Linked DNA regions of Arabidopsis thaliana. The protein of the gene in region 2 interacts with the protein of the main gene of each other region in a pairwise test. Each region holds a gene or a part of one and is shown on either strand. Other genes may lie near its edges.

The links.
Region 1: the proteins of AT3G05150 (region 2) and AT5G58150 interact in a protein complementation assay, tested with the Arabidopsis thaliana proteins (one large-scale study listed by BioGRID).

The regions. Positions count from the first base shown.
Region 1 is NC_003076.8:23,529,549-23,535,046, reverse strand, and holds AT5G58150 (Leucine-rich repeat protein kinase family protein), read left to right. Parts: upstream 1-2,206; 5' UTR 2,207-2,473; coding exon 2,474-4,831; 3' UTR 4,832-4,966; downstream 4,967-5,498. Other genes in the region: AT5G58160 (actin binding protein), read right to left, coding at 1-113, 331-1,031, 1,251-1,323; PHOT2 (phototropin 2), read right to left, coding at 5,054-5,176, 5,261-5,401, 5,482-5,498.
Region 2 is NC_003074.8:1,437,986-1,444,339, reverse strand, and holds AT3G05150 (Major facilitator superfamily protein), read right to left. Parts: upstream 4,268-6,354; 5' UTR 4,227-4,267; intron 4,215-4,226; exon of another isoform or gene 4,142-4,214; 5' UTR 4,125-4,141; coding exon 3,969-4,124; intron 3,856-3,968; coding exon 3,793-3,855; intron 3,695-3,792; coding exon 3,605-3,694; intron 3,479-3,604; coding exon 3,419-3,478; intron 3,315-3,418; coding exon 3,249-3,314; intron 3,113-3,248; coding exon 3,047-3,112; intron 2,808-3,046; coding exon 2,732-2,807; intron 2,608-2,731; coding exon 2,543-2,607; intron 2,437-2,542; coding exon 2,344-2,436; intron 2,270-2,343; coding exon 2,189-2,269; intron 2,107-2,188; coding exon 2,022-2,106; intron 1,928-2,021; coding exon 1,818-1,927; intron 1,738-1,817; coding exon 1,678-1,737; intron 1,580-1,677; coding exon 1,526-1,579; intron 1,439-1,525; coding exon 1,379-1,438; intron 1,289-1,378; coding exon 1,174-1,288; intron 1,092-1,173; coding exon 983-1,091; coding exon of another isoform or gene 979-982; exon of another isoform or gene 843-978; and 3 more. Other genes in the region: RBK2 (ROP binding protein kinases 2), read left to right, coding at 6,141-6,193. UniProt on the Arabidopsis thaliana protein: Sugar transporter.

The DNA.
Region 1 (5,498 bases), on a different chromosome or scaffold from region 2:
ACTCGAAACATCATGACCTCTCTTTCCATGTCATCGTTCAAACTAAGGCACTCGATCACGATATCACCTTGCACATGACAATTAATGTCAATCTTGACTAGTTCACATTCTGCCTGCAAAACACAAAGAGTTGAGTAAACAACATCGAAAAGCCATTAAATCATATTGCAAACAAGGAAAAAGAAAGCTAAGAAGCACAAGAAACAGAAAACCAACAGGGCTAATCAGTGATCAAATATATTTCTTTTTCTAAGACCTTCAGATGCAATGTAACACAGGCTGAGTCAGAGGTCATAATTATAAGAACGCTATGAATATTCTGAGAAATACCTGCTTGTAGACCCTCAGGTGTTTCCCTTTCTTGGGAGTAGTGTACAAAAGCTTAGGCTTTTTATCATCAACAAAAAAGGGATCCTGACCATATATTCGAAACATAGGGCGAAAGCCTCCTTGTCCACTAACATCAGGAATAAATCTCAAAATAACACAATCCATGGTGAGAGCCCTATCCAATGGAGGCCATTCAGAGACCAAATTCCTTCTTGACACGTACTGTAGATAACGAAGCTGAGAAGGAATTGGGTTCAAGGGCGAGAACAAACGCAGAAGCTCACGCGGAGCCTGCTTGTAGATCATGTCCAAAGTCTTAGACTCACCACTATACTGCTTCCTGTATATAAGGAGGGCAGCTAGCATAAAAGCTAAAACAGGCCAAGCCCCACTTTCACAATGCATTAGTAACAAGTTATTTGGCCCAAGCGAGAGCCAACTTTCACTTGACCGGAGAAAATGATGCATCACTTCCACAGGTAACAATGAGCAGCCTTCGTAGTGCCGAGGATAATCCATTATAGTCAAGCCATGTTCAGATAAGACATCAGCCATCACACTTCGAGTACCCACTTCACGGAAATTAAACACAAGAGAAGATGCTTCAGGGAAATGCTCTTGTAGTTGATTGACTACTCCTGCCATATAAACTTTGTAGTTTTCTTCTTCCCATGAATCGGTAGAGAAGCAGCAATCGAACACTGCAACACACACAGAAGAAACTTTTTTCAGTTCAATGTGTTTTTTGCCAATCATGATAAAATGAAATTTCATATCTTGATTTGTAAAACTCCCAAATTTCAGACAAATTAGCGTAAAAAGTCCCAACTTTTCAGACACTCAATCCCAGAAGACCGAACAAGTACAATGAGCTAAGGAAAAATAGATAAATGAAGCAGAGAATTGGGAGAGAAACAGACCGAAAACTCTGTCGCATATCTCGAGCAAACCATCTGGAGGCTTGCGGTAGAACAATTTGCGAAACAATGCCATTTTATCAAAGTCTTAAAACCTCTCTTCGAATTTCAAAAATCGACAACTTTTGAGTTTTCGTTTGATTACAGAATTTGTAGCGAAAGATGCTCCTTTTTGGTATGAATCTGTTAAGGTGATGTTGATTGATCTTCGAACAGAGGAAAAGGTCAGCTGGCGCGTTGTATGACGTGGATCCCACGATCAGCCGCCAACTCTCTACCCGACCTGACACGTGTCTTCTCATCTACGGACGAACCGGCATTTATCTCTCGGCCCATTTAATTCCTCTTAATGGGCTTTTCCTTTTCGGCGCACAAGTTGTGATATCTCGACTCTGTTTTGCTAGCATTGTTTCTTCATTCTCTCTAATTGCAAGTTTCAGTCTTTGAATCCGATGAAACTCAGATAGCTATTGGAGCTCTGTTTTAGCATAAGATTGCTTAAAATAGTGAGTGGCTATTTTTATCCAGAAAATGAGCTATGAATCTGATGAGTTGGTTTAAACTACATTGATGGCTCTTGTTTTTATTTTCTCTTATTTGCGGACATTAAGGCGCCAGTTTAGGGGCTAATCAGAGGAATGAATGATTCTCAATTTCCAAGGTATCTGTGACAGAGTCAAAAAAGTGTGAAAACCCCTAAAAAAGTGAATTTTTACATTAATAACCAAAACACTACTGAAATGAGAAACCACAACAACCACCCACTCCTCCACTCACCAAATCCATTGACAACTTTGGGATTTGGAAAAATTCACAAAAGGTCTGAGACAGATTCCATTTATCATATTTTTCTTATAACTCACTAGCGAAATACTTTACCTAATTATAATCTCCACATATCCCTTTTTTTGACTTTCAACGACTCTCTCTTCTCTTCCCACTTTCTCCAGTGTCCATATACGATACAACCAAAAACTCAACTCTCAACTCCGGAACTCCCCCAAACTATTCAACTCTTATCTTCTTCTTCTGAAATTTCATAGCTTTCTGACTAAAAGTTCTGATTTTTTTTGAAGCTGTGCACGTGAAAGGGATTTCAATGTATTCTAAACTATCATCACCTCTATGCCCCGTGATTCCATTATGTCTTTTCTTCTTTTCACACAGTCTGTCTTCTTTCTGAGCTTTCCCATCCAACTTTCTCCAGTCCCAGACACCACCAAGTTATGAGGTTGTCTCTATGGGGATCTCTCCTGTTCTTCTCCTTCTTCGTCAAGCATCTGACGAGCCTAGATCCCAACACCGACGCTTATCATCTCTCTAGCTTCTTCTCCGCAATGAGATTACCCAATTCTCCCCAAGCTCATACGTTTTCTTCCTTGTGTTCATGGCCAGGAGTGGTCGTCTGTGACTCTAGTGAGAATGTGTTGCATATTTCGGCTTCTGGGTTGGACCTGTCTGGTTCGATCCCCGACAACACTATTGGCAAAATGAGTAAGCTCCAAACTTTAGATCTCAGTGGAAACAAGATTACGTCTCTCCCCTCGGATTTGTGGAGTCTCAGCTTGCTTGAGAGTCTCAATCTCTCCTCCAACCGGATTTCTGAGCCTCTTCCCAGCAACATCGGCAATTTCATGTCGCTTCACACCCTTGATCTTTCTTTCAACAGCATCTCTGGCAAAATCCCTGCCGCAATAAGCAACCTTGTCAATCTAACAACTCTCAAGCTCCACAACAATGACTTTCAGTTTGGCGTCCCTCCAGAACTTGTCCATTGCCGATCTCTACTCTCCATCGACCTCTCATCCAACCGCCTCAACGAGTCTCTGCCTGTCGGTTTTGGTTCAGCTTTCCCACTACTAAAAAGCTTGAACCTTTCACGAAATCTGTTTCAGGGTTCATTGATAGGAGTCTTGCATGAAAACGTGGAAACAGTTGATCTCAGTGAAAACCGATTTGATGGGCATATCTTGCAGTTAATACCCGGCCACAAACACAACTGGTCTAGTCTGATTCATCTTGACTTGTCCGATAATAGCTTTGTCGGCCATATATTCAATGGTTTGAGTTCAGCTCACAAGCTGGGACACCTTAACCTCGCGTGCAATCGATTCAGGGCACAAGAGTTCCCAGAAATCGGCAAGCTTTCTGCGCTACATTATCTGAATCTATCAAGGACCAATCTCACTAATATCATTCCGCGTGAAATCTCGCGGCTGAGTCATCTGAAGGTTCTTGATCTCTCCTCCAATAATCTCACTGGCCACGTGCCTATGCTGAGCGTCAAGAACATTGAAGTACTTGATCTCTCGTTGAATAAGCTAGACGGAGATATCCCAAGGCCGCTTTTGGAGAAACTCGCCATGATGCAAAGGTTTAACTTCTCTTTCAACAATCTAACCTTTTGCAACCCCAACTTCTCCCAAGAAACAATCCAGAGATCCTTCATTAATATTAGAAACAACTGCCCCTTCGCTGCAAAGCCAATTATTACAAAAGGAAAGAAAGTCAACAAGAAGAATACAGGGCTTAAGATTGGTTTGGGGTTAGCAATCTCCATGGCGTTCTTACTTATAGGACTACTGCTCATACTTGTAGCCTTGAGAGTTAGAAGAAAATCAAGAACTTGGGCAACAAAGCTAGCCATAAACAACACAGAACCCAACTCCCCAGACCAACACGACTCAACCACTGATATCAAGCAAGCAACGCAAATCCCTGTGGTAATGATCGACAAGCCATTAATGAAAATGACGCTTGCAGACCTAAAGGCTGCGACTTTCAACTTCGACAGAGGCACAATGTTGTGGGAAGGCAAGTCTGGTCCTACTTACGGAGCAGTCTTACCCGGTGGATTCAGAGCAGCTCTAAAAGTTATCCCAAGTGGAACCACATTGACTGATACTGAAGTCTCGATTGCATTTGAACGTCTCGCTAGGATCAATCACCCAAATCTTTTCCCGCTCTGTGGATACTGTATAGCGACAGAGCAAAGAATTGCAATCTACGAGGACTTAGACATGGTTAATTTGCAAAGTCTACTCCATAACAACGGAGATGATTCTGCACCTTGGAGACTTCGGCATAAGATAGCTTTGGGGACAGCGAGGGCATTAGCTTTCCTTCACCATGGCTGCATTCCTCCAATGGTCCACGGAGAAGTGAAGGCTGCAACAATCTTGTTAGACTCTAGCCAGGAGCCACGCTTAGCAGACTTTGGTTTAGTTAAACTCTTGGACGAGCAATTTCCCGGTTCCGAAAGTTTAGACGGGTACACACCACCGGAACAGGAGCGAAATGCTTCTCCGACATTAGAATCCGATGTGTATAGCTTTGGAGTTGTTTTGCTTGAGCTCGTGAGTGGGAAGAAGCCGGAGGGTGACTTGGTGAATTGGGTGAGAGGGTTGGTGAGGCAGGGACAAGGATTGAGAGCCATTGATCCGACGATGCAAGAGACAGTTCCGGAGGATGAAATCGCGGAGGCGGTGAAGATAGGGTACTTGTGTACCGCCGATCTGCCATGGAAGCGACCTACGATGCAGCAGGTGGTTGGACTTCTCAAAGACATTTCTCCCAACTACTAGTGGGCTAGTTATGGGCCTCATAATGGGCTTATCACACTTAACATGAATATTAACATGGCTCTTAAGTTTGTATGTTTATTGTTGTTGATTAGAAGAAATGGAAAAACATGAAAAGAGCCGTTTATATTTAAGCAACTACAAGTACAACAACACCTTGGCTTTTATTGAGAAGAAGAGTTTTGCATAATTTGAGAATCAAAGGCAGAGAGAGGAAGAATAGGATTAGAAGAGGTCAATGTCCAAGTCCGTAGAATTCACAAGCACTCCATCATCTTCCCACTTTATATCTTTGGCATTCGGATCTTTTTCGATTATGCTCAACGGTGCATCCAGTGGTGGAGGACTCTGTATGCAATCACTCTATTATATCAGCCAACAACAAACACGGAAAAGGCTGATTGATATAAAAATAACGATTATTAGTCCTACCATGCCTCGTATGAGAGGCCAATTGATCCCGCGAAAGAAAGCATGCTGCTTTATCTCATTTGCCCCACCTTTGGATCCTAACCGACTGCTCGGATCTCTATTTAACAACGTGTTGATCAACTGTCTACCTACAAGACTCACCTGCACAAACACATATGGTTAGATTAGTATTTTTTTTACTTTGGGAAAGACACACAGGTTGTTGTTACAAGGTAGCTCACAGGGATACTGCTGGGGA
Region 2 (6,354 bases):
TATATAGCTACAAAAGTTCAGTTTAATTCAGACACACAAATAGCTGCCTAAAAATCAGTTAATGTCATAGTTCATAGTTGAAGTCAAGACAGCAATGTATAAACTAAGTATAAAACAGAGCATTTAAGTTCTTAGTTCAACTCCATTAAAGATGCAGCTTAAAAGATGAAGAACGTGTATATTTATTAACAACTAACAAGAACCGTTTAAATAGCAAAACGATATACAAGAATCAAGACCAGAGTATTTTACCTTGTAAGAGGATTTTTTATGTTTTGTTTCTCTCGGCTAATGAGCAATGTAGATAAAATTTGAGTGAGAGAACTCCTCCAGTGGAAAAACAGAACTAAAAAAAGATTGTACTCGACATTTGTAAGAAATAAACCAAGTAAAGAGGATTCAGATTTCAGAGTCAAGAAAGGAGTATTTATAGAGAGTCATTATTTAAATTTCTTTCCAATCAAATATTATAGATTCAAACGGTAAGAAAATGTTACCGTTTCACAACGTTCATATTTTTCCACTGTATCAAGTCAAATCAAACTAAACGTTAGAAGAATATCGGAAATCGTAAACGCACTTAAGAGTTAAGACTCTTTTATTCATTTACCGAGTAAAATTCTCTTGAAAGCTGAAGGCCCAAAAGTAAGGCCCATTATGTATGATATAATTGAGAAGAAGAAAAATCGATGGCGGGATAGTAGTGAACAATATCCTCCTCACTAATTTGAAGGGTATGACTGTGTGTTTGATTGATTCGAGAAAAGCCTCTTTACGAGAGAACATGCCCACTTCTTGACTAAAGAACATTTTCATGCCATAATTCTTTCGATTTACGAAATCTGAAAATCCAAAATTAAATTCATAAAATACATATAAAGCCTTTCGGTTATATTGATAATGGTATGCGTTTGCATGTAGATAGTTATACCTTAATAAAAAAAATAAAAAATTAACATGTATTATATATTTACAGAGTTACATCATCATTGCTTGAATCTCTTCCAAGGTTCTGCCTTTAGTTTCAGGAACAAGTTTTGCTATGAAGATAATAGCCAATACACATACCCCACCATACACATAAAATGTACCTAAAAACAAAGAAATGCGATCAATACTGATTGTTCACCTAGTAGTTATGTATATAAAATAACAAAAAAAAATGTAATATACCATGAGGGCTCCAAATCATGAGAAAGTTGAAAGTGAATGAGACAAGCCATGAACTTAGCCAATTTACTACAGTGACAAGTCCTCCGGCAGTTCCTTTCAAATTTATTGGAAATATCTGGAAGTATAAAAAAAGAGTAAATTAATGTAATGACAAGATTAAGAAAAAATAATGAAATATGAACATTATATATTGTTTTGAAATTACCTCAGACATTATAACCCATGGGATTGCACCCATTCCAATAGAGAACGAACCGATGTAGACCTGGAAATTGGGTTTTGGGTCAACCGAGGAAAAAACCAAGACCAAACCATATATATTGAAACCAAAATTAGGTTTATAGATGTTTACCAAGACACCACTAACTGCCAGAGCCGGAATGATGTCAAGTGCTAAACCATGAGCCTGTCAAAACCAAAATCAAACCGGTTAACCTAAACGTCCTATATTTTTCCTGACATTATACGCTTTAATTTTTTAATTTTATTTTTCATATGATTGACCTTCAAAAGAAATGAATTTCCGATGAGCAAACATCCAATCAGCATCCCAACAGCTGAAGCCTGCAATGTACCGCATGGTCAGACCGAATACTCTAAACCGGTATTCTAGGATTTATTGGAAACTGAAACAAGAACCATACCATAAGAAGTGGCCTTCTTCCAAGCCGATCAATTAGCAATGTTGCGCCTAGTGCTGTGAGAACGACTTGTTCGATCGAGTATAGAATGCTTCCAAGAGTTGGGGATGCTCCTGGTACTCCAAAAATGGAACAAAAACCGATGAATGGTCTAGAAATGGAGTATGTTAGATTATAACATTTGCTAGATCATTTTCGAATTATAACCTGCTGATACGAATATTTGTTGTGCGTAGAAGATAACGCCATTAATTCCAACGAATTGTTGGAAAAACATCAAACCAACTCCAACCTGAATAGATAGAAAAATAAGATTTAACCAAATCAAACCGGGAAATAGTTATAATCGGTTGAATGGAATTAGAGATTCTTACTATCACAAATCGAATATTCTTTTTGTCAATAAGGTCCATCAATGTGGCTTTCGGGAGGTGAGCAAGACTCGCTAAGTACTCCTATAAACCGGAATTCAAAACACGAAAAATGTCATGTCACGTAACAAAACCGATTTTCTGGTTTTAGATTGTACCTGAATTTCCCCGGCTTCTCTTGTGATATTGGCCTGAGGACCCCTCAGTTTTTGCAACGCAATTTCAAAATCACTGTGGCGGCCAACCATTTCCTTGAAACGCAAAATGCATATGAGTTGGGTCGGTTAGTTTTTTTTTTGGTTTTAATGTTAAGAGGTTAATTTCAACCATATGTTGAGTTACGATCGTTGATCTTACCAGCCATCTGGGTGATTCAGGGATGAACCAAGTCCCAAAGAATAGAACCACGCACGGTGCAACTCCTGAAATTGGTTAATTAAACCTCGTTTTGTTATACCCAAATTAAATTTTATACCATCTAATTTTGTATAATTACTAAACCAACAACAAATATTTCCGGTTCAGCTACCGCACAAACAAGTTTACCGGTTAGTGCAAGAGTTCTCCAATTTACGACGGCGCCTATGAGGAACATAGAAGCTAATCCGATTACGATAAAGAGCTGCAATATTAACAATTTCAATTTATTTCAGAAATAAAACAATAATTTTTTGTTGTCTTTTAAAAGATTTAAATAACTCTAAATACTGTTTTGATTTTTGTTTTTTTGACCACAAAATACTCCTAATTTGTGATACAATGTCAAATATCTCGAAAACACCAACACATATGCTAGCTCTGATTCTATTGTAATCAGTACATTTTCTAATGCAGTAGTAAATAAAAGGACATCATCATCACCTGGTTAAGCGTCGCTAAGGCTCCTCTCAATTTTCTCGGACTAATTTCGGCGATGAAGACCGGTACCTACACAAAATCGGTGCCAAATGTGGATTTCCAAAAAGTTTCATATATAAAAAGGAATTTTTATTTATTGATTAATTTATAACACTATGCATGGCTTTTTATCCATAAGGGGAAAATGCTTATGAAAATGTCGTACCACAAAGGAAAGGGTACCGCAACCATAACCCGTTAGAAATCTTCCGAAATCCAAAGGTACGTCACCCTAATATTAAAAAAAAAACATCACTATTTAGTTGCAGATTTTCCATGTTATTTTAAAGCTTTTTTTGAAAACAGCTATTGAAGAAATTCAGCCAAAAGAATAACCTTGGCCAAGTAAATTATCAGCCAGCCGATGGCAGAGATCACTGAAGACAACCGCATGGCCTGTCTCAAAGACAAAAACCATGTGAGCCAAAAAGTAATTTTATATTTCGTAAAAATGGTATATTTTTCTTAGGATTTATTGTGTGTATATTGAGATAAAAACAATTTTGTTTAGGTAGGTTTTACCCCTTTCCGACCGATGAAATCAGAAATCTTCCCCGATGTAATGGCGCCGAGCACTGCTCCCATATTCAATATCGATCCGAAAACCGAAAACTAGATTCCAATAGAGAAAAAAAAAAAAAAAAGATTAAGCAAAATATTGTTAAACATGCATCTATAAACGTAGAAGACTTAATCAATTTAATATAAACCTGGGAATATGATAAATTAAGCTCTTCCATAATCCCAAACTGTGTTGGAGCGGAGTATCCCACCTATTAAAAAACAAACACAGATTTTCTCGTATCAAAAAGATTAATCGTCACAAATTCTTAGGTTCTCATCATCTTTTATTTCCAAAGTAATAGGTGTCGTAAAAGAATCTTACGCATGTTCCAAACTCGTAGGAACCGCAAACGGCAATGATCGTGCTTAGATAAACCATCCATGATGCTTCTTCTGAGACGTCGGATCCATTCTCCGGCAGCAGCAACGGCTCGGATTTGTCGTTCCTTTTCTCCATGTCGTCTTTTCTTGTCTCCATTTTCTTCGTAAAATGCCCTTTGAATTCAACGAATACTTATCAATTTTTATGTAGATAAAATATAGGATATATGATAAGAAACACAAGATTTGGATAACTCACCGGAGGAAATGAGAAGGCACCGTGTTTTTAGATCTAAAAACTCTGATTTGTTCCTAATTTATTGATATATATCATGTCTATATTTATCTCTGTATAAATCAGTACATGTAGCTAGGCTGGCTTAGCTAAAACCCATGCAGGATAATTTTGGACGAATTAGACAATTTGAATTAATTTATTCGAGATTTTATGAAAGTCCCAACTCCCAATGCATTATTACACGTTGGGGGTTCTCTATAGTTTTAATGTTGATTGACTAAACTTGAATTTTCTTAAGTAAGATAATTCAGAAGTAATTACATGGTATTTCATAGTAATAATATTCACTAATACTTTCCTCAAAAAATTCACAAATACTATGTACATTATGGATGCATTGTGTTACTGGGTAAGTAAGATGCATGGTTTGTTATTTTGTTTTCCTTTTTGGTGATGGTTTATGACATGCACAGTAACGTGTAATTGACTCAAAGGTTTGACCCGATAAGACAGTTGTTTTCCACAGATCCGATGCTCATGTGTTTTTTCCTGGCCCACCGCAAGATCCAAGCTGTGATGGATAGTTTTTTTTTTTTTTTTTTTCTATAAATGTGATGGATAGTTGATACTATAATAATTTCTAATTTGGGAGACAAAATCCAAAAAAAACTCTAGATCATATAGTATAAAACTACAGGGATTCAAAAGACAGTATTTGGATTTGTAGTTGGCCATGAGATATTCGTTTCCACTCCGCATTAACCACATAAGTAATGAATTATTCTTCTTCTCGTCATATGGGCTAATATCATTCAAATTCTTGCGAATGTAAGATGTATAGAAAAAACCGCCCACTATAGAAATCATCAAAATCTATGAAAATGATTTTGTCGCGGAAGTTGAACTGAGTCATTACAATTTGGACCCAGCGTCATTGAGCAAAAACCTATTTAATCGAGGGTACAGAAAGTTAGCGTAGGGACTATTGATAGATTGATAGAACAGAACAGTACCTAACAAGATTTACATAAATGATCGATGTCCCCTCTCTTATACAACAATGAAGTATTGAACAATCACTTCCAACATGATTGTGGTCCGTGGTTTAACTATCCAAAACTTATATAAGAGTCACTTGAAATAATATTTGTTAATCACAAAAATAAGAATCATAAAAATAAATAAACGGTGCAAAGCAATAAAGCCAATGCAGGTTTTAATGCAGGCTTTCTGCATCATATACACACAGAAAATATTCTATTCACAAGAAAGAAAATACAAAACAGAGTACTACTTGAATAAAAACATATAGAAAATTAAAGATAATTACTATCAGGTCGCAATATATACAAGAATGTCAATATCTACAATTGATTAGTAACAGTAAATGAAATTAGTAAAACTAAAACTACTTAGATTACTCAAGTTTGATCTTTTATAAATTCCTTATCAACAAGATAAAGAAAGTAGTTTTTTAAAACCTTAAAAGACCTAAATTAGGAATATGAGTTTGGATAACGAGACCGACAGATGAAGCGATTTTTAAGGACCCTTAACCCTTTCTGCCATAAATGAATGAAGCTAAGAGAATGCCTCTGAGTTCAATCCAAAAAGAGAAAATCAAAAGCATATTGCCAAATATAGGATTTAGTCATTTTAGAGTCTAACTATTAGCTTAACAAAAAAACTACTAGTAGATATACCATTGGTCAACGGAAAACAATTAAATTAGTAAATCAAATTTTAAACACACAGACAAAACCTTTTCTTTCGGGTGTCTCGAGACGAACACCAACTTCAAAACTTCTTTCTATTTTTATTTATTTTTGGTTTAAATGTTAACTTCTTTCTATTTCCTTTCTATGATCCTCTTCTCTATTTTTAGGTTTTCAGGTTTCTGAGAAAATCTTAAAAGTGTCCTACCAACACTCTTTCATGGCGGTAGACCAAAGCAAAGAAGCTTCTCCCGTGTGTTGTGCTCTTCCAATGTAATCATTCAATCAAATCACTTTTTTCTCTGTTTGTTCTTATATTTGATTTGAGTTTTTTTTTGGTAGACATGATATTAATGTCTAGAAGTTTATCTTCTGTTCTGTTATGATTTTCATTGATACTTAACGAACGTTTAAGCAGAATTAACGAACTTTCC